Drosophila melanogaster: one gene and its partners. The main gene of each other region encodes a partner of the protein of the gene in region 3 in a complex. Each region holds a gene or a part of one and is shown on either strand. Other genes may lie near its edges.

Region 1 (6,836 bases), 130 kb from region 3:
AAACTTACTCAATGGACTGACTAGATGAACGGATCGTGTCCAGGAGCACGCCCCATTTAAATATATATATATATAGTACGCCAAAATATAGACAATTTTAGCGATTAGGTGCGAAGGAAGACTATATTTTCCAAGAGCTGCAAATTTGTTTTGCCTCACAAGTTTTCACGATCGTGAGGCCATGCTAATGGCACCTTAAAGCCACGTTAACGTATCCAGCTGCCAAAAGCAAATAAATGGCTACCACAAGCGATGCACTTTGGGATTTCGCCTGCATTTTTATTTCCCACCCAGTCATTTTTGTGCATTCTCAAGTGCTCCTGTCCATGGCTTTAGCTTGTTTTGGGGTTTTTTCCCTGGTTTTTCATTAGCTTGGGAGTTTCCGTCTTGTGGAAACTCAGTGTGCAGCATGAAAAGGGTGTTGTCCAAATCCCCGAATAAAACATGAGCTCAAGATTCTGATTACGACTGTAACCTTTATGTCTGCTCCTCCTAAATTGAAATGAAAAACACGCAGAATTTATAGTGCATGGAAAGAAACTATTCAATTTATTCGCAAAAGAGTTTTGTAGTAAGCGGACATTAATTTTACAATATGCTCCATTATATTAAAATATCCATAGGAATTAAAATATTTTCAAATTGAGAGAAGGCAAATTATTAAAAATATAATATTATCGAATAAGAAATACTTTATTTCAGGAAAATATTTATCTAAATATAAAGCCATTTTTTCTGTGTAATGGATGATGACGAATTGAATGAAAAAGAAGTGCATCGGTTTTATCAATAAAAACTAAATTAAAATGGAGGCAGGAACGTGGGAGTAGTTATTAGGAATTATTCATTGAAATTGCGTAACTCAACATTTGTATTCAATCAACAGGAAATCTATGCTCGAGCAAGGGCAGAAATCGCATTTAAATGGAAATTTCTATAGTCTGTTTCGAGCATCGGTTTTGAAAATATCCAACCCATATATAGGATTTATGGGGCCGCACAAGCCGTAACAATCCAACGGAAAACGGAAGCAAAATAAACAGCACAAAAGCGTAACGGAAACAGAAACAGAACCCCAGGAAAAAGGGGCCCGTTTTTGCCGATTTGGATGTATGTAAATGCATATAAGCTTTTGCACCCACACACAATTTACGATTGCAGCTGCAGTTTCGGAGGAGTCAAGGAGCAGAAACCCGTACTATTTCACGGACCCTTTACGGATTCAAATGTCGATAGGCGGACAGGGAATTTATGGAGCTCTCATCAATTTCTCCGGATAATAAAGCCGCCATATGCACTCTCGAATGTCAGCTGTCGAAAAGCCAGGAAAAGGGCGATTACGCGAGATTAACCGATCAATTTTTAATTTGCCATTTCCGAGACCGCAGATACACACATCTCCATCAATCTGCAGTTATTATTTATTATGCTTACATTTGCGTTAAAGTGTTTTCCGTGTTACTCGTGTTTTCAAGCGATTCCGGGCGTCGCATCTCATTTAGGATGCCACTTAAACAGGATGTGGATGGGCAGAGCACATGCCACGCACACACCGCACACTTGGGCCAAATTTTGTTTACACCGCCAAGACACAACACAACACACAAGAATTCAAATGAATGAATTTATTGAATTCTTTTTAGCGGGCCGCAAAAGCACTTGAGACTCTATCGCCGGATATTGGCATCAACGCTGCCAAATCGCCGAGTACATCCGAAAAATTGAGTTTTTGAACTTGAACTGTCCGTCGGCGCGGAGGAGAGAACGCATGCGACTTGTTGGCGCGCGCGAAAACGTTTGGCTTGGTTTTGCTTTGGCCTTTCCTTGGCTGCCTGGCTGCATGTTGGCCGGACCAATTGATCCGGAGATTGGTTGGGGCGCCAGAATGGGAACCCCACTCTGTTTGGCTAAGAAATGCCGGCACTTTTGCACGCAAGCGCAGCAACATGTTGCTGGCAACTTCAAATGTTGCAGGTCACCAATGCAACATCTATGTAAGCATTGATCACTGATTATCTTTTTAACATTATTTTGAATAGTTACTTAAATGGCCACTATTTCATTTTGATGATATATTTGCTATGTAATTTAATGGATTTATTTTAAATGTACCGCCCAACCGGTTACTTGATATCGATATATCTCGAGAAGTGCCGGCATTTCGTTATCGATGAGTACGCGCTCGCATTCAGTCAAAACAGTGACTCCCTTAGAGATGGGATAGATTTCGGTAACTGTTGGTCCGCCACATAAAAAAACAAATGTTCTGTTACATTTAAAAAAATGTTTAAAACGCTCTCCTTACGAATATTAGTAGAGAGTAATCATTTCTCAACATGACAGTTATTATTAATACATAAATCAAACGCCCCGCCCCGTGACTTTGAGCAATATATATCGCCAACGAAAACACATGCAACCATCGCCCATCTCTAGTCTCTCTTTTTGATGTCTTGTGCATTCGACATCGTTTAGTTTTGCTGTAAAATAGTAAGTTTATTGTGAAATATCAAACGCCAGGTGGTAGTAAACACTTAAAAAGCAAGGCAGTGAACCGATTTCTGCCAGGGCTTCGAATGAAACAACCAAATGTCATGCGGAAATATTTGGCATACGTTTTTGCAAAACGCCATGTTGGCCGCTCAAACATAACCTCAACAAAGCAAAATCTTATGTGGCCCGAAACTAATAAATTGTGATTCCAGGCGCAGACAAACGGCCGCGTAGAAAGTCAACAAAGATGTCGCGTTTCTTTGCCAACGGGTCCGAATCGGAGTCCGAGTCCAGCGAGGAGGAGATCCAAGCGACCAACTTCAACAAAGCCAGCGCCTTCGTAAGTGCCGCCCAGATGTGAAACTCATCCATTACTAATCTATTCCTTTCCGTGGAAAACAGCAATTCAGCGACGATGAGGAGGAGGTCAAGCGCGTGGTCCGCTCCACGAAGGAGAAGCGTTACGAGAACCTCACCAGCATCATCAAAACCATTCGCAACCACAAGAAAATCAAGGATATTCCCAATACCCTGAGCAGCTTCGAGGATCTGACGCGCGCCTACCAGAAGGCACTGCCGGTCATCTCAAAGGAGGAGAACGGCATTACGCCGCGATTTTACATTCGCTGCCTGGCCGAGCTGGAGGACTTCATCAACGAGGTGTGGGAGGATCGCGAGGGCAGGAAAAACCTTTCCAAGAACAACTCCAAGTCGCTGGGCACTTTGCGCCAGAAGGTACGCAAGTACATCAAGGACTTCGAGGACGATCTGTCGCGTTTCCGTGAAGCACCCGACCAGGAGAGCGAGGCCGAGGACGAGGTGGTTGCCCTGGAGAGCGACGGCGGCGATGCTGGTGATGACAGCGACGCCGGAGTGAAGCCTACAGAAGCGGTTCCGAAAGCTGTGAAGTCCGCGCCGGCAAAGGCTGCGCCCGCCGATGATGACGATTCCGATGACTCCATTGATTGGGACTCGGACTCTGAATCGGAGACCGAGTCCTCTGACGATGAGAACCAGTATCAGAACATGCGCGAGCGATTCTTGAAGCGTACTACCGAAAAGGAGGAAAAGGATGATGACAAGAGGAAGGACAAGCGTAAGGAGCAGAAGACCAAGATCCGCAAGCGCGCCGAGGACGATGAAGATGGCGAGTGGGAGACTGTGGTCAAGGGTCATGTAGTAGAGAAGCCCAAGATGTTCGAAAAGGACGCAGAGATCGATGTTCCCCTAGTGCTGGCCAAGCTGTTGGAAATTATGTCGGCTCGCGGCAAGAAGCGCACCGATCGCCGTCTGCAGATCGATCTGCTTTTCGAGTTGAGGGACATCTCTGATCAGCACAACCTGGGAACCGCCGTCTCCGTGAAGATTCATTTTAACATCATCTCGGCTATCTACGATTACAACCAGAAGATTTCCGAGCCCATGAAGCTAGAACACTGGGCCCTGCTTCTGGAGGTAATGCAGAGCATGATGAAGCTCCTGCTGGCCAACGCCGACATTATTATGAGCGAGAGCGTGGCCGAGGAGCATGAGGAGTACGCTACGTCACCGTTTTATGTGAGGGGATGCCCACTGGCTGCCGTGGAGCGCCTGGATGACGAATTTGTTAAGCTGCTGAAGGAATGCGATCCACACTCCAACGACTACGTGTCCCGGCTGAAGGACGAGGTGAACGTGGTTAAGACTATTGAACTGGTGCTGCAGTATTTCGAGCGCTCTGGCACCAACAACGAGCGCTGTCGCATCTACCTGCGCAAGATCGAACATCTCTACTATAAGTTCGATCCGGAGGTGCTGAAGAAGAAGCGCGGTGAGCTGCCAGCCACTACCTCCACCTCCGTAGACGTGATGGATAAGCTGTGCAAATTCATCTACGCTAAGGACGATACGGATCGTATCCGTACGAGGGCCATCCTGGCGCACATCTACCATCATGCTATGCACGACAACTGGTTCCAGGCCCGTGATTTGGTGCTGATGTCTCATCTGCAGGACAACATTGATGCCGCCGATCCCGCCACCCGCATCCTGTACAACCGTATGATGGCCAATCTGGGTCTGTGTGCCTTCCGCCAGGGCAACGTCAAGGATGCGCATCACTGTCTAGTGGACTTGATGGTCACCGGCAAGCCCAAGGAGCTGCTCGCTCAAGGACTGCTGCCTCAGCGCCAGCACGAGCGATCTGCCGAGCAGGAGAAAATCGAGAAGCAACGCCAGATGCCATTCCATATGCACATCAACCTTGAGTTGCTTGAATGTGTCTACCTGGTGTCCGCTATGCTGCTCGAAATTCCTTACATTGCCGCCCATGAATTCGACGCCCGCCGCCGCATGATCAGTAAGACCTTCTACCAGCAGTTGCGTTCCTCGGAGCGTCAATCACTGGTGGGTCCACCAGAGTCGATGCGTGAGCATGTCGTGGCTGCTGCCAAGGCTATGCGTTGCGGCAACTGGCAGGCGTGTGCCAACTTCATTGTCAACAAGAAGATGAACACGAAAGTGTGGGACCTCTTCTACGAGTCTGATCGCGTGCGCGAGATGCTGACCAAGTTCATTAAGGAAGAATCGCTGCGCACCTACCTGTTCACCTACTCGAACGTCTACACCTCGATCAGCATTCCTTCGCTGGCGCAGATGTACGAGCTGCCCGTGCCGAAAGTGCACTCCATCATCAGTAAGATGATCATCAACGAGGAGCTCATGGCCAGCCTGGACGATCCATCCGAAACCGTGGGTATGCATCGTTCGGAGCCATCGCGTCTTCAGGCCCTGGCCATGCAATTCGTGGACAAGGTCACAAATCTGGTGGACGTCAACGAAAAGGTGTTCGACATGAAGCAGGGCAACTTCTTCCAGCGCGGCAACATGGGCAATCGCGGTGACCGTGGCTACAACCGCAACCAGAACAACCAGGGCGGCAATTGGCTCGGCCAGCGGCGGGATCGCAACAACCGGAACCGTAACCAGCGCGGGCACCACAAGAACAACCAAGATAGGCAGCAGCAGCAACAGCAACAAGTCCAAACGATCGACGAGGAGTAGACGTTGCTGCAACCTCAGCCCATCCTCTCTAGCGAGCGTTAGCTTAAACATCAGCAAAACTTAAACAGATCAAATTTGTAGCACTTCGACTATTAAAATGGAATGGCCATGGACAACACGTTGGGTCACATGCTTTCAGGCCTCCGATTCGGTTTCAGGCTGGGTCGGAGGTCTGTTTTTATCATGTCCATTGCATATTGTTGTAGCCAAGTCACACGAACATTTGTTTCAGCGCTCATTACGTTAAATGATAATACTAATAACTACATTTTGTATGAACCCAAAACCGAAAAAGAAACCTTAAAAACAAGAGACACAAAATCAGTGACTTTTTTTTGCAAATTTTTACCAACAACTAATATTAAATTTATATGTACTAACAAGAGTATTATTTTAGTCGGCTTAACACTTTGGCTTTTGAAAATTTAAGAAAACTAAGAATAACATTTGAATTTCGATGACAAGCTTCGTTTTCTGCAAAACTTCGGATATCGATATGCTCTTTTTTTCTCACATCTCTGAAACCTTTTCTTCAGTAGTACCGTTCGACGTACCTTTGTCACATTTTTTCGGAACTCTATAATAGGCATTATAAATTAAAACCAAAATATACCTAGTAAACAAATGAGCAGCGTTGGCGAGGATTGCAACGAGCTGAAGCAGCAGTACGATGCCTGTTTCAACAGCTGGTTTTCTGAACGCTTCCTAAAAGGTCAAATGGATGACTCAGCGTGTGCTCCGATTTTCCGGGTTTATCAGGAATGCGTCAAGGTGAGCTAATCGGCTCCCTAACCACGTATGGTTTGACCAACCTGTAATCCCCAGCGCGCTATTAAGGAGAAGAAGATCGATTTGCAAGAGATAGATCCGATCTTCGAAACCGGGCTTGAGGAGAATAATGCGAATAGATCTGATGCAAAACAGCAGCAGGCGGGCGAAAGCTGACCCCGTAAGCTGCTCCATATAGCCATCCTAATCCTCGCCAGCGTTAATTGGTGGCTGCACGCGCTACAAAATACTTGTAAAGAGAAACATTTCGTAGTACTTTGACTGTTAATAGTATCATCATGAAACATGGACAACTGATTTCGTTATAACCAGAGTGCCTTTATTAAAATAAATTAGATGTTCTTAAAGAATTGAAAATTCAAATTTCGATAGCACGTTCAGTTTCAACGAAACGTACATCGATATGCTGTGTCCCACATCTCTGATAGCTTATCTGTAGTATGACCCTCACACAAACCATTCTCACATTTTTTTCGACTTATTATTCAATAGAGAAATTATAACTGAAACTC
Region 2 (4,412 bases), on a different chromosome or scaffold from region 3:
CGCAACTCACTAACATAATTATTATATACATACCCTTAAACTTGCATGAGGTGAGCATATATCGCGAAAGATTTCATTTCTTATATCCCTTATTTTTATTTATTGTAATTTCGCATAAAGTTGAAAATTTGTATATTATATACACATCTTGGATTGTATGATTAATTTTTAAACATGATCGGTATATGAATAATTTTTCTGTATAAATACATCAAAGAAGATATAGTTTAGTTTTTTAATAAACTATTTCAATGAAGAACTATTTCATATTTTGATCTGCAGAACGCTTAAAGTTAAAAGGTGTATGGTATGTTGGTGGTAATACTTCAATGACTAGGAGATACAGTCCTTCAATGATGAAACAATCATTTTACGTTTCTGAACTTATCATTGTTAATTAAATTGTTCTAAAATGTATAACTTACCTGTCCTGTCGCATTTCCGACAAATATGCTAACAAAGTGGATGTCAATTCGACATGCTTAATAAAAACTTACAACTGAGTTCATAAATTTTTGGGAGGAACCAGTATCTGCTAATGTAACACTGTAACTAATGTTATTGATTTAAAAAAAAAACTTCCGCATTCTGAGATTTAAATTTCGCCCAAAAGTATGCATTACGAATATATTTAAATTGGCCACACAAACTTTCATATGAAAAGTTTTTTTTTTAATTAATTTATATATTAAGGCATACGGGGAAATCTTGGAGCCCCTTTGTGTCCTTCTTTCATATGAAAAGTGTGTTTTTTTATGCTCTTTAGAGTACCTTTTATTCTTCACCAGGATCAAGAATCAGCGCAGTCGATCTGGCCATGTTTGTCCGCATGAACGTCAAGATCTCATGAACTATAAATGCTAGAAGATTAAGGATGCAGATTGCACAGAAAAGTGTAGGCGTAGCTCAAGTTTATCCTGGTGCTACCAAACAATTGAAAGTTAAGTAACGCATATGATGCAACGAGGTGCTGGTTATAAAATGTAAGAAACTAGTTTTTAATAGAATGTGTTGTCATATTTCGTCACAAAATTTGATATTATAACTTTTGTGTGCCGAAGGTACGATCATCAAAGTTTGATATTAAAGAATATAAATATTACTATTCTTACAATAAACCCAGCACCGATGCGACTCCCTGAAACCCTATAGAATAGTGAAGCTCACCAAAGACTGAAACACAACATTTTGTTTTAGCAGTTGGGTGCTAAATTTTCAGTTGCACATGCATTTATTTTGTTCCTGGTGATGAATACTGTTGTGTTTAAGAGTCTTCAGTAGATTCGAATGCTCCTACAAACGCCACATGGTCGTTTAGTGTAGGTGTCACAGGATTCATGCTGATTCTTCAATTGAGTTATAAAAAAGATAATCCCATATATATTTTCTTTAGTATGGAATGTCATTCTGACCAGAGTAATCGATACAAGTTTTGGTTTTTTTTTTTGGCGATCAGAGCACTTTATTACGTAGACCCCCATTGATAAAAAACACAATCAGTTTACAATGCCACCCTTAGTAGATATTACCACTTCAACAAACGCCGTCGTTCTAGGCGGTGGGCAGGAAGGTGAGCTTTTCGTTAAGCTGCAGCTGGGTTTTGATGAGCTGGGAGAGCGTGATGACCAGCAGAAGGTTGCGTACGTTGGCGTTGAACATCTGAGTGAACTGCTCGTGGGTCATGTGCGGCACGGAGTGGATAAGGTCTAGCAGCTGGCGTCCGACGGCGTTGTCGGGGGTTACCTTGTGAGCGATCACGTCGTCAACGTACTTGAGAATAAGATCCAGCAGGGACTGCAGCTTCGTGGAGGCCTCCGAGATTTGGGCCAGGTCCAGCATTGGCGGAACGGTCTTGGGACGGTGAGCGGGCGAAACGCCTACGGTCTTCTGAAGCAGCTTGAGCCCAAATGTCTCCGGCTCGTAGCTGGTCAGCTCGACAGGAATGGGCGTGAACATGCAGCCGCTCTTGCCGCCGGGAACTCCTAGTTGAATGCAGACATAAGCACGCAGACCCATACGTCCGCCCTGCAGCGAAGTGTCCACGGTGAGGTGAACCGGGTTGTTGCATTCGCGGGCGTAATACTCGTGGATCACCGAGCTGTGGTTGGTAACGTCGTTGCCGGTGGCCCACCAGCCTACCACGCTCTCGTTGGAGTTCACCTTGCGGTTGAGGTCGTACATGTCCAGGGCGTAGCTCAGCTCTGCCTCCACCTGGTCATCGTGCTCCTTGTGCGGCACACAGAAACAGTTGGTAACCTCCACCACACCTTTGTCCACAGAGCCGAGCAGGGTGCCGATGACGCGGTGCGAGTCCGCGTTCCGCCGCTCGAAGGCGTCCACCACCTGGAAAAGCACCACCGGGTGCACGCGCACGGTCAGATTGAGAGCCGACATGGTAATTTTCGGTGGCCAAGATTTGCAAGGAAAATTTCCGCAATAATTTCTATTCAGCCACGCTGCGCGTATGTTTTAGGGATGCAAGAAAAGGGCCTATCGATAGTGCGGGTGGGGGTTGATGGCTTTTGGAGCTATCGGTGCGGTCGTGCGTGGCCTATCGTTTTATCGATGTAAAACCGGTGGCTAGCGTTAGTTAATCAAATACTATTCAAATTTGAATATGTCGGAGATGCCAAGCGCGACTTTTCATTTACTTCAGCGTCCATATTGTCCAGCACATCAAGTCGCCTGCGTGTTGTTTCTTCTGTCGTTCTAAGCAGACTAATTTACTCAAGCGTCGCCTTCGCGATGCTTTTCTTCTATTCCTCACCTTCACTCAATTATTTCATCCTTACTTCGTTTCCAGAAACTATACAACAACAACAACAGCCACACAAATGATGCCCACTCAATAACGGAACGCTTTCCGTGAATTTCATTGCTCGCTGCTCATTCTTAACATAACGGATCAATAACAAAATGTCGGTTACATTCTACTACTCAATCTTGCTTGTGAAATTTTGCTGATCAAACGTGCTTAAAGCGAATTATTAAATTTAATAAAATGCCTGGAAAGAGATAAACTTTGAAGTTACCCAATTAATAAACTATAACCACCAGTTGGGAAAATCTTTTCCAGAATAAGTATAAATGTTTTCTGTATCCCGTAAGACCGTCTACTATTTTTTAAAAGGCTCGGAAAAAGAGGACAGGCTTGAACCTAAGAGTGGTGGTGGGCGGAAAATTAAAATTAAAAAGCGTGTAGACCGCTTTATTATGCGAATAGAGATTGCGAACCCCCGGTCAGATCACTTGCTCTGGATATCAGGCAAGAGTGTCACCTAACTGTGTCACACGAAACTGTGCGCCAAGTCATCCTACGCCATAGATACTCTTCAAGAGTTGCGAGGAAAAATCCTTTGCTATCAGATGCCAATATGGAAAAGCGTCATTAATTCGCTGTGAACAAGGTGGATCATCCAGAAGAGTACTGGGATGACGTCATATTTGGTGACGAAACAAAAATTATGCTCTTTTATAACGACGGGCCAAGCAGAGTATGGCGCAAACCGCTGAGTGCGCTAGAAAAACAAAATATCATTCCAACGATAAAATTTGGAAAAATGTCACTGATGGTTTGTGGCTGTATCACCAGCCATGGAGTGGGAAAACTAGCCTTAATTTAGAGCACAATAAATGCCGTGCAATATCTAGGAATCTTAAAAAACAAATTTGAAGGCCGGTGCAGAAAAATTTGGTCTAGTTAGCAACAACAAGCCAAATTTTATATTTTAAGAGGACATGATCAGAAACATAAAGAGTGCAATGTACGCACCTGGCGCCCTTATAACTGTGGTAAAGTGATCGATACGCCCCCTCAGAGTCCTGATCTGAACCCCATTTAAAATTTGTGGACCTACTTAAAGAAGAAGGTGGCAAAAAGGGACCTAAAACACGACAACAGCTTATGACTGTAATAGTCGAAGAGTGTGAAAAGATCCCGTTTGAATATGACCTGCAAAAACTTGTCCATTCCATGAAAAAAGGGCTTCAACTTGTAGCTAAAGCCAATGGGGAACATACTACATACCAAAACTTTTAAAATTTTAATAAAATAATTTAAAAATTTAGGATTAAACATCGATTTAGTGTTTTGTGTAAAGAGTTTCTTGACAGTCTCAAAAGTGTTTAAACTTGGAATTTGTTGTTTTTTTTCTTGTATATTTAATATTTTTAATTTGTTTTTTGATTTATAAGTAAAATAAATATTGTTTAATTATATTTTATAAAAAAAATGCGTTTAATTAAGCAAAAAACCTTTAATTTTTAGCTTTAAAGTCAAAAATTCAACTTATTTCACAGTGTGTAAACAGTTTCTTGACAAACTGTATCAATTTTAAGAGGAAGGTCCCGCTTGCCCTTCACTGAACGAAGGCTGGTTGGGAGAGTTTTAAAAATTCTAATATGTAATATGT
Region 3 (5,744 bases):
AAAGCGGGCAAGAAGAGAGTGCTCCGCTTGAGTCAGCGCTTGGATGTTTGAATGTTTGAATGGGTTTAGCCATAGGTTCGGTTCGCGTTATGGTTCCTAGCTGTTTGTTTTTGCTGGCCAAGAACGAGACTCCAGCGCGACTTTCTAGGGAGTTGTCTGGGGGAAAAGTCGGTGTACACGCAAGGCCCCAAACCGCCGAGCAGAGTGTTAGCGTTTCTCCCTTTGCGCCTGGCATTCGCATGCGTAAGCCGTTTTTTTTTTTTTTTATTATTTGTTTTTTCTTTTCATATTTAGCGATTAGGTCATGCAACAGCGGCCAGCTCAAAGCGAGAAAAACGATAACAAATGCCTAATCTTGCAGGGGTAAAGCGTATTTTCCGGCTTCGATTTTTCAGCTGCAGTTTTATGAATGGATGTTGGCTGCTGGCATTATATTCCGATCAGCACAAGCACACCCCACACAACTACCGGTTGTAGTTGTTTGCATTGGCCATCGAAACCAGTCGATTGGTAAGTAGGTGTCGGTCGCATACTAAGCGCTAAGTTGCCGAGCGGCATTACCTCAGCGCACCATTTTGGCCAAGAGAGTAGGTGTTTAGGCCCGCTTCGCCTCCGTTGGAATGTTAATGAGTGCTTTTTGTTTTTAGCTCAAATATGAGTTTATTTTATGTGTAACTTTGTACACGGGAAGCCCTCTTGCTGCGCTTACCTGTCGTATTTCCTGTGTTTCGACATCCATGCTGACGGATTTTCCTGCGACGGACTCCGGCTCTCCGACGCCCGCCACTTCACTTTCCGCACTTTTTGCACTTTTCGCACTCTATGTTTGACCACAACACACCGCTTTTCCTTTTTCACTTGTCTCTTTTCTGCGTGCGAGCGAGTGCGTGTGTGTGTGAGTGTGGCTTGGAGTTTTCCTCAGCTTAGGTGATTTTCACTTGGAGCCTAAACACAAGAAAATACAAAAACACGATTGGCACTTTGTCAAACCACTTGGAAATCGAGAAAAATAACTAATTGCGCACACGCATTGTCAGCGAATTTTTTTCGGCGGGCGGGGCAGGGAAAAAGCTTAAAAGGCAGGCGGGCAGCCGAAAGAAAATGTGAATCATTCACGGAGCGCGACGGTGGGTGGTGGGCGGGGGCGGGGCTGCAGTGCGACAATAACAGAGAACACTTTACAGTTGCCTGTTCGCTTTTCTCGAGATGCTGCTGCATCAGCTGTTGCGATTTGCTCGTCTGGACAAGCCATTTACGCACTTTTCAACCCATCGCAGTGTTCAACCGCCCGTCCATGGTATAATTAATGTTTTCCCAATCCGTTTTAAGCCAGCAAGTTTCCAATTTTCTTTGGGGAACCGCCGACTTAAGTAAATGAAAACATTTTCCTTCGCCTCGCACTGTTGTTGTCCGCCGCCCGCTGTTTGCCTCTCTGTCGCTCCCGCTGCACTGGCAGTGCTGGTGTGCGACACTGCTAGTGTGGTACTGCTCGCACCCACAGCGAACGAGTGGTGACCGAAAAAGCTGTGTATGTGCGCGCGGGTGTGTGTGCGAGAGTGAGTGTGGGGCCTACGCACATTTGGGATGTTTTTCGCACTGATTTGCTGCACCGACGACTTTCGCATGCATTTCACACGGTTCGCGCTCGTCCCCGCTGCATTTTTCAACAGCTTTAATACTACAAATTGGGCTTAAATTGAGAAAATCACGGACACCGATCTGCTCTAAAATCTTACAAATTTTCATGTGAGAGATGGAACCCCAGCCGATGATTACTCGATGCAATCGGTTTTGGCTTATCGGCAACAAATCGATTGATGCCTAATTCTAAAAAATCGGTTGAACATGCTTCAAAACTTCCATCGCTAGAGTTGCAAGCGGAAAAAATGTATGTATTATTAAAGAACGATTAAACTAGTTGTTATAGGTTATACTTTGCTTAATACATATTGACTAATATTAAATAATTGTATGTACATGAAATACAAAATGATAATATTTAGCCGTTTTAACACATTATCACCAGATAAGCACCTAAGATTCTGTTGTTAAGGATCCATAAGAGAAGGATCCAGATATTATTGTCATTGCTGTCAAGCAAACATATGCAGTATAAATACAAATAAATCTAAGAAACAGTAAATTAAAATATATGCATGTACATATGTATTTATAAATATTAATAAAAGTTACCCCGCCGCGTTATCAACGCAGTGAGTAGTTGGCAACACTAACCATTCACACAAAACAGTGTTTCGCCTTGACTGGCAAATGCGGCATCTCGCTCTTCCTTTTTCACTTTGTGCTTGTGTGTTTAATGACGGAAAATTGCAAATAGATCGCTGAATATGGCCAAGAAGAAAAGCGAGGAGCACTCCGGTACGGATGCGAACGACAGTGATTACCAGGAGGAGCCGAACTTTGACGATCCGCCCGGGTTCGTGGACAACATTAGTGATGAAGGTGAAAATCACCGACTGCCAGCGCATCACACGCGGCGATCTAACCTCAATCCGTGTGCGGTGTGCGAAAGTTTGCATTTGCATATCTAATTAAATATATTCGTGATGCACTTTCAGATCTGCTGGGCGACATGTTGGCCCAGCGCCCCTCGGAGGCCGATGGCGTCGAGAGTGTGGTGGTAGTGGACAATATCCCAAAGGTGGAGCCGGTGCGCCTGGAGAAGCTGAAGTTGGTCATCAACAAGCTGTTTTCGAACTACGGAGAAATCGTCAATGTGGTCTATCCCGTCGACGAGGAGGGCAAGACCAAGGGCTACGCCTTCATGGAGTACAAGCAGGCCAGACAGGCGGAGGAAGCCGTCAAGAAGCTCAACAATCATCGCCTAGACAAAAACCACACCTTTGCCGTCAATCTCTTCACCGATTTCCAAAAGTAAGTTCTCCTTGCATCCGCATCAAGCAATGAGATTAATAAAATTTAATCTTGGCAGGTACGAAAACATCCCCGAGAAGTGGGAGCCGCCAACCGTGCAGACCTTCAAAGTGCAGAGCGATCTATACAACTTCATCAATGACCCGGACACTTATGACCAGTACTGCGTGGCAGCGGAGACCGCTCCCAACTGCGTGCAGGTTGGTTTCTGGCAAAACGTATTGCCCGAACCCTTTGAGCTGGAGACTCGCGAACGCTTCACCGACACCTTCGTCAAGTGGTCGCCCCTGGGTACTTATGTAGTCACCTTCCACAAACCCGGTGTGGCCATCTGGGGTGGCAGTAGCTTCCAGAAGATTCAGAAGTTTCCCCATCCTGGTACCCAATTCGTTGAGTTTTCGCCCTGCGAGAATTACCTAGTGACTTACGGACCGACACCCACGGGCCAAAAGATCATCATCTGGGACATTCGCACTGGAGCCGAGAAACGTTCGTTTGTTGCCGATGGCATGTCGGTTCTTTCTATGTTCCGCTGGTCGCACGACGACAAGTTTGTGGCCCGCATGGGCGAGAATTCGATCCACATCTACGAGACACCCTCTTTCTATCTTCTGGACCTGAAGTCCATTAAGATTCCCGGCATTCGTGGCTTCTCTTGGTCCCCCACAGACAACGTGATTGCCTACTGGGTGGAGGAGCAGAACCAAATACCCGCCCGCGTTACCCTGATGGAGATCCCCAAGAAGCGTGAGATCCGTAACAAGAACCTTTTCCATGTGGCCGATTGCAAGTTACATTGGCAAAAGTCCGGCGACTATCTGTGCGTTAAGGTAGATCGTTACTCAAAGTTGAAGAAGGATAAGAAGGACCTGGACGTCAAGTTTCTGGGCATGTTCTACAACTTTGAGATCTTCCACATGCGCGAGAAGGAGATTCCCGTCGACTCTGTGGAGATTCGTGAGCTTATTTTGGCCTTTGCCTGGGAGCCCGTCGGCAACAAGTTCTCCATCATTCACGGCGAGACCAACTCGTCGAATGTGAGCTTCTACGAGGTGAACAAGGGCGTTAAGCCCAGCTTGGTGAAGCGTCTAGAAAAGAAGTCATGCACACATCTGTTCTGGTCGCCACGCGGTCAGTTTATCGTAATGGCCAACCTCACCATGGGTACCTTCGAGTTTGTGGACTCCACCAACGATTACATCATCACGGCATCGCCCGATCATTTCCGCGCTTCCGAGGTCGAGTGGGATCCCACTGGACGCTACGTTGTGACTGGTGTCTCGTCATGGAAGGTGAAAGAGGATACCGGCTTCAACATGTACACGTTCCAGGGCCGCATCATCAAGCGTACCATTCTTAAGAACTTTGTGCAGTTCTTGTGGCGCCCGCGTCCTCCCACCCTGCTTAGCGAGGAGAAGCAGAAGGAGATCAAGAAGAACTTGAAGAAGTACTACGCTGCCTTCGAACAAAAGGATCGCCTGCGCCTTACCCGTGCCTCCAAGGAGCTGCTCGAGAAGCGCTCGCAGCTGCGCGAGACCTTTATGGAGTACCGCAACAAGCGTATTGCCGAGTGGGCGGAGCAGAAGAGTCGTCGCATCATGCTGCGAGGGCGTAAGTATTCTCAAGAAACAAATTGTTTAAAATTTGCCGATTTCTATATGTATATTATCCTTACGCAACAGATGTGGACACAGACAACCTGGAAACTGACGAAGTGGATGAAGAAATTGTTGAATTTTTAGTCAAGGAAGAAGTCACTCTGCTGGAGTAGACGACCCCCTCAACGCCACTCCAACGCTGTCGTCCCCTGCCTACTTCGAAGCGATCCTGTCGCCTCACATTTCGTGTCCGGGACGCGTCTACGCCCTGGTTGATGCCAGGGCCCTAATCCATTATCCAATACAGTAGCACGCGTCTGCTTGCAAACAACTCTAAGCGGAACCTTTGCCTATACATACAACATACGAACATACGAATTATAAGCCCAAAAGTAAACTTCAACTCAATCAGCAATTGCGAACATAACATCTAATTAAATGACCTTTCTTGCGCACACCCCTCCTCCTTCCAGTATGCCTAATAGTAGATTTGCCATGTATTTGTATGTAAACAGCAAAAAGAAAACGAAAACAAAATACGTTTGGGGTATGTTTTTTTGATGTTTCATTCAAGGCGATAGACGATAGATAGCTGGTGGTGAGCAGGTGTGTAACAGTGGTCAAGTCAGTTGCCCATGGCAACCAGTTGAAAGGTCAAAGCAGGCGGAATATTGTTTGCCTGGCATTTTCCGTTTGTAATAACCTATGTAACATGGAAGCCGCTCTATCCAGGAAGACTGCAAAGAAGAAACGCAAGACCCATACCACCAGAGGGTATCGGAAAAGGGAGCAGGAGGTGCAAAAGTTGATAAGGGCAACGGAAGGCAGAATCTCTGGTCCAGAACACGACATGGAGGCACTTAGCCTGCAGTTCTTTCATGGATTTGAGGGTGAGATGCAGCAGGAGAACGATTTCGCTGTTGAAGATTGCCAGGAGAGTGACGAAGATTCGGGTGGGGAACTGGCTGAGGAACCAACGGATTCGCCCTCCCAGACATTTATACATATCGATCTGCACGATCCTCCTCTGGCCTGGGGTCAGCTATTCAAGCAGCGCCACTACTATGATGAGAGCTTACTTTACCGACCGAGTAATACCCTGCACTTTCAGTTGCATTTGAGCGATTTGAGTGAGTTGAAGGACTCCCAGATCCGTATGCTGAACCGCTACCAGGAGCAGTCCAAAAGCAAGTCCGGAAAATTGGGCTCTGATCTGATTGGTCAGCTAAGTGGACAGAAGCCTGCGAGTTT
Region 4 (4,259 bases), on a different chromosome or scaffold from region 3:
TCGGGCACAACTCGAGGATGCACCTTCTTGAGGAAAGGACACTCGTGCTTGTGCTGGCCCCAAGCTTGCATCTGGCATGAGCGGTGGCAGTAGGACACATACCTGCAGTTGGAGCACTTCAGCACCTTGGTCCTGCAACGACGAACCCAAATTAGATAGCTCACAAAGGCAGCCACATGGCGAAACTTACGCCTCCAGGCAGTTATCGCACCGCTCCAGGCGGTACTGTGATTTCAAGACGAAGGCGAATGGTTTCTCCGTGAGGATCCGCTGTCCCCTTTTTATTTGCGGCGCCGGATTCTTTAGGTTCTTGGATTTGGATGAGCATGCGGATGCGGTTGCGGATGTGGTTGCGGATCTGGATGAACCAACGGTGGCGGTGGCCATTTCGCTCGAACGGAGCAACAACAAAGACTTTCGCCTGGGGGCCCGTCTCACTGACGACTGAAAATGAGCGCACACCTGAAGATCAAAAATATTGTTTCGAATGCTTTTTGAATATTTTGCGGCATCTGATTTCTATTTTTGGCCACAAAAACAAACACAATTTACGCAAATCGCTGGCAAACACAAAAACAACAACACCATGGTGTTTATTCGCATGCAAACGATGGCGTTGCCAGATCGGCTGGAATCATGCTTTCTACAGTGGGCACCGCGTAAGGTTAACTTGTTAACCATATGTGGGTAGCTGCATGTCGTTAAAAAATACACTTAACAAATCATATTCAAGTTTTTTAAGTAACAAATAAAAAATATTTCTTTTATATGTTGTTCCCAGTGTCTACGATTTGGTGGCCTTGCGTCCTTTAAAACGAGGGAGAAAGCTATATTAGAGCAAAAGTCGAAAGCATTTGTGTTGGTTGGTCCGCAAAACTAAAGAAGAGCGATTAAGTTATATCAAATATGAAAAATATACGATTCTAGATGCCATTGTATCCTTGCAGAGCATAGTCATCTGGTTTTCGGTGCCCATGGGGGCTGTTTTAAGATTTATTTGTAGCAAACTTAGCATAGCATAGGGACAAATTGTGTGATCGACTCGAACGGACTCCTATGAGCAGTAAACGCGGGTAGTGGGAACGGGACTAACTAATTGTTCTGGGGTTTCGACCATTCGACGCTGAGGATCAAGTGGTCGTAGCCGTGTCCATTGAGGATCTCGATGGCGGCGGCCGCATCCTTGCGCTGCTTGAAGTGCACGTAGGCGAATCCCTTGCAGAGTCCGGTGTTCTTGTCGCGGGCGAGATACATCTTGCTCTGCGGTCCAATCTTCTTCACCAGCTCCTCGAGATCCGCCTCGGTCATCGACTCCGACAGATTCGATATCCTAATGGCGGCCGTGTCGTCGCGTCCGCGCATTCCCAGCGCGCCCTTTTGGCTGTCCTTGAGGAACGGCGGCACATACTTGCCGGACTTGGGCGCATCGACGGCGGCCGCGGCGGCTGCCGAAGCCTTCTTCTCCATCATATTCGTGTCCATCGCCGTGCCCTTGTACGGGCAGTTGACCGACCAATGCTCACCGTTGCAGATACGGCACTTGGCAATATTCTTGGTGGGATCTAGCAGCGGATCGTTGGCCTTCTCGTCCTCCTTGGAGTTGAGGAACTGCATGATGATCTCCTCGGACACCATGGTCGTCTGCGAGTTGGGGCCGGGCTTGTCGTTCTTCGAGTCGCCGAACTTCGTCCAGGTGCGTCGCTTGGCCACCGTCTTGGGCACCACCTGCTTGGATATCTTGTACGTGCGCACCACCTTCGTCTTCTTGTCGTCCTTGTTGTACTTGTACTCCGTCACGTACTTCTGTCCGTTCTCCACCGTCTCCGTCGTCGGAGGTAGTCCACCATAGTCGAGCTCCACCTCGTCCGCCCAGGAGGATTTGATCGTTTCAACGCCCGGCATCTGAAAGGAATTGAGGGCGCAGTGAGTGGGGCTACACTGGGCGCTTGCTTGGGGTGCACTCACTCTGATTTTCAACGCGATTTGTATGCGAAATCGTAAATGCAAATTTCGCCACGAGTTAAGCGGATTTTTAATCAGCAACAAAAGAGTGTTACCCTGCCGCGGTCACAAAAATATGCCGTGTGTGTCCAAAAAATATACCGCTAATACCACTTTGCACTTTTTGGAATATACCATTTGAAATTTCGTTACATATAAGTTAATAAGTTATCGATTTGATTTTGAAGATCGCAAGCGACCGTTTATTGCAATTTATCATTTGAAACTAAATCTAGCGTACAAAATGTTTCCCTAAGTCCCTAGCAATCAAGTGAAGTCGTCGGCAGCGGCGCAGCAGGCGTCGGCCGCGGCGCAGCGCAGAAGTGTCGATGTCGCGCTTAACCGTTCGTTGGCGTTGATGGCAGCGGAGACTATGTGGAACCACAAGATGTTAGAGAATCAATTGCAGGGCAATAACTCCTCCCCTCTTAATTGACGCTTGTCCTCGAGCGGTCATCATAAGGATGGGATGTTTTTGAGTCGCATCGTTGGTGGGGTGATTCGTGGTAGTTTGGGCACAGCATTAATGGTTTGAATGCCAGGTGTTTATTGTTGCGTGCGTTCGAGGTTTGTGCAACTCGGATGTGTTCTGCATTGACAACTTGATTGCTTCTATTAAAATTCTGGTTTTTACTAAATTACTAATGAATTTATATCTACATATTTTTAGACCATTGGAACCTTTGCAGAAGGCATTGATTCCGTACATTTCGTCTTTAATTGGTAAATTTTATTATTATTCAAATTAAATTATTATTTATTTATTATTATTAGTTTCCTTTACTGATCATGTTTTAAAATATAAGAAATAAGGAATTAACTGATTCAATATGGAGATTTCAATGGCATTCAAATTGTAGTTCCGTTGTGTAAAGCGAGAACGTGTGAAAGTTTTAACATTTATTTGACCGTCAAGGCAGAAATCGGTATATTGTTTTCAAGTAGGCTACTGGTCTCATTCAATTTAAACTCGCTCCGCAGAAACGCATTCACAACGCAATCTCTTCTTTCACGAGCCCAATCTAATTCTGCAAACCTATGGCCAACTCGTCTGTCAAAGTCGAATCGTTTCAAATTTAATTCTCGTGGTTACGTTAATCAGTATGTTTAATGTTTCTATGTTCTACTTGTCTATCGATGTGGCCACAGTAATTATTCTGAAGCAATCATGATCTTATGTTACTTTTATGTACTAATTTCCCTGATTCTGTTAATATTGTGGTACTTCGGTCTTCCTTAACTAGTTCCTTCCTAAATCTACTTGATAACTTAGAACCTAATCTTGTATTAACCCTAACGAAAATTTCTTGCCCTTTGATATAGGTTTTTATGGGCTTTCTTGTCCGGTTGTGGTATTCTATGTCGGTTTCCTGTTTTTGCCTAAGTCGGTCTATATTGTCCAGTCTAGCTTGTTCATATTTTTCTGGAGCTACGGTAGCTATCCTGCCGAAGAACACCTCTAGAGGTCGTTTTTTTGTGACAGAATGGACAGTGTAGTTATATTCATAGATGGCCCTATCGAGAAGTTCCTCGAAGCCCCTATGTGTTCCATCTCCTTTCAAACATCTCATTATTTCAGAGAGTGTGGAGTGAAATCTTTCTATCTGTCCATTTACTGTACTCTTATACGGAGGTGCTTTGTAGAGCTCAATACCCAGCTGGTCTGTCAACATGAATTTGATAGAGGCTGAGTTGAGGGACTTTTCATTGTCCATTACTATTAATTTAGGCACTCCATAATAAAACACGATATCTCTTAGGGCTTTCCTAATGTCTTCTACAGCTTTGGATTTGATAACTCTTCCCATGGCCAGTTTGGAAAATTTATCAATCGCCGTGAGCACCAGATGTCGTTCTGTCGAGTAGATGTCAATATGAATAATTTGTCCGGGGTATTCTGGCAAGGGAGTTTGTCTTATTTCTGGATGCGTGGGATGTCTGTCATATTTAGCAGTCTTACACACCAAACACTGATTCACGATAGCCGAAACTTTTTTCCTCATTTTAGGAAAGTATACTCTTTCGGACAACTGAGCTTTATTTTCCACAGCATTTCTGTGTGCTCTGTTATGTGTCCTAAGTATTTCTTCCTCTTGTTCGGCTTCGTTAACAAGGTCTTTGACTTTGCTTTGGCAGAATCTAATCTTGAAACCCTGAAAATGGATGGGGTAGAGAATTTGAATTTTCCCCATTACATCCTCGGATGTGAAAATTCCATTAATCACGGATGGGTTAAGATATTCTTTCAAATCTGACAA

The links.
Region 1: eIF3b (region 3) and eIF3c share a complex: the UniProt entries of both Drosophila melanogaster proteins name them as parts of the eukaryotic translation initiation factor 3 (eIF-3) complex.
Region 2: eIF3b (region 3) and eIF3f1 share a complex: the UniProt entries of both Drosophila melanogaster proteins name them as parts of the eukaryotic translation initiation factor 3 (eIF-3) complex.
Region 4: eIF3b (region 3) and eIF3g1 share a complex: the UniProt entries of both Drosophila melanogaster proteins name them as parts of the eukaryotic translation initiation factor 3 (eIF-3) complex.

Annotation. Positions count from the first base shown.
Region 1 is NT_033778.4:17,663,327-17,670,162, forward strand, and holds eIF3c (eukaryotic translation initiation factor 3 subunit c), read left to right. Parts: upstream 1-2,351; 5' UTR 2,352-2,490; intron 2,491-2,705; 5' UTR 2,706-2,740; coding exon 2,741-2,833; intron 2,834-2,895; coding exon 2,896-5,535; 3' UTR 5,536-5,659; exon of another isoform or gene 5,660-5,705; 3' UTR 5,706-5,949; downstream 5,950-6,836. Other genes in the region: CG30108 (uncharacterized protein), read left to right, coding at 6,160-6,306, 6,361-6,480. UniProt on the Drosophila melanogaster protein: Component of the eukaryotic translation initiation factor 3 (eIF-3) complex, which is involved in protein synthesis of a specialized repertoire of mRNAs and, together with other initiation factors, stimulates binding of mRNA and methionyl-tRNAi to the 40S ribosome.
Region 2 is NT_033777.3:4,711,692-4,716,103, forward strand, and holds eIF3f1 (eukaryotic translation initiation factor 3 subunit f1), read right to left. Parts: upstream 2,492-4,412; 5' UTR 2,395-2,491; coding exon 1,552-2,394; 3' UTR 1,191-1,551; downstream 1-1,190. UniProt on the Drosophila melanogaster protein: Component of the eukaryotic translation initiation factor 3 (eIF-3) complex, which is involved in protein synthesis of a specialized repertoire of mRNAs and, together with other initiation factors, stimulates binding of mRNA and methionyl-tRNAi to the 40S ribosome.
Region 3 is NT_033778.4:17,534,117-17,539,860, forward strand, and holds eIF3b (eukaryotic translation initiation factor 3 subunit b), read left to right. Parts: upstream 1-2,096; 5' UTR 2,097-2,213; intron 2,214-2,216; exon of another isoform or gene 2,217-2,338; 5' UTR 2,339-2,348; coding exon 2,349-2,463; intron 2,464-2,579; coding exon 2,580-2,895; intron 2,896-2,953; coding exon 2,954-4,506; intron 4,507-4,577; coding exon 4,578-4,666; 3' UTR 4,667-4,947; downstream 4,948-5,744. Other genes in the region: patronin, read right to left, coding at 710-739; Cc2d2a (Coiled-coil and C2 domain containing 2A), read left to right, coding at 5,206-5,744. UniProt on the Drosophila melanogaster protein: RNA-binding component of the eukaryotic translation initiation factor 3 (eIF-3) complex, which is involved in protein synthesis of a specialized repertoire of mRNAs and, together with other initiation factors, stimulates binding of mRNA and methionyl-tRNAi to the 40S ribosome.
Region 4 is NC_004354.4:2,608,281-2,612,539, forward strand, and holds eIF3g1 (eukaryotic translation initiation factor 3 subunit g1), read right to left. Parts: upstream 2,057-4,259; 5' UTR 1,966-2,056; intron 1,903-1,965; coding exon 1,093-1,902; 3' UTR 967-1,092; downstream 1-966. Other genes in the region: Smyd3 (SET and MYND domain containing, class 3), read right to left, coding at 1-132, 191-387. UniProt on the Drosophila melanogaster protein: RNA-binding component of the eukaryotic translation initiation factor 3 (eIF-3) complex, which is involved in protein synthesis of a specialized repertoire of mRNAs and, together with other initiation factors, stimulates binding of mRNA and methionyl-tRNAi to the 40S ribosome.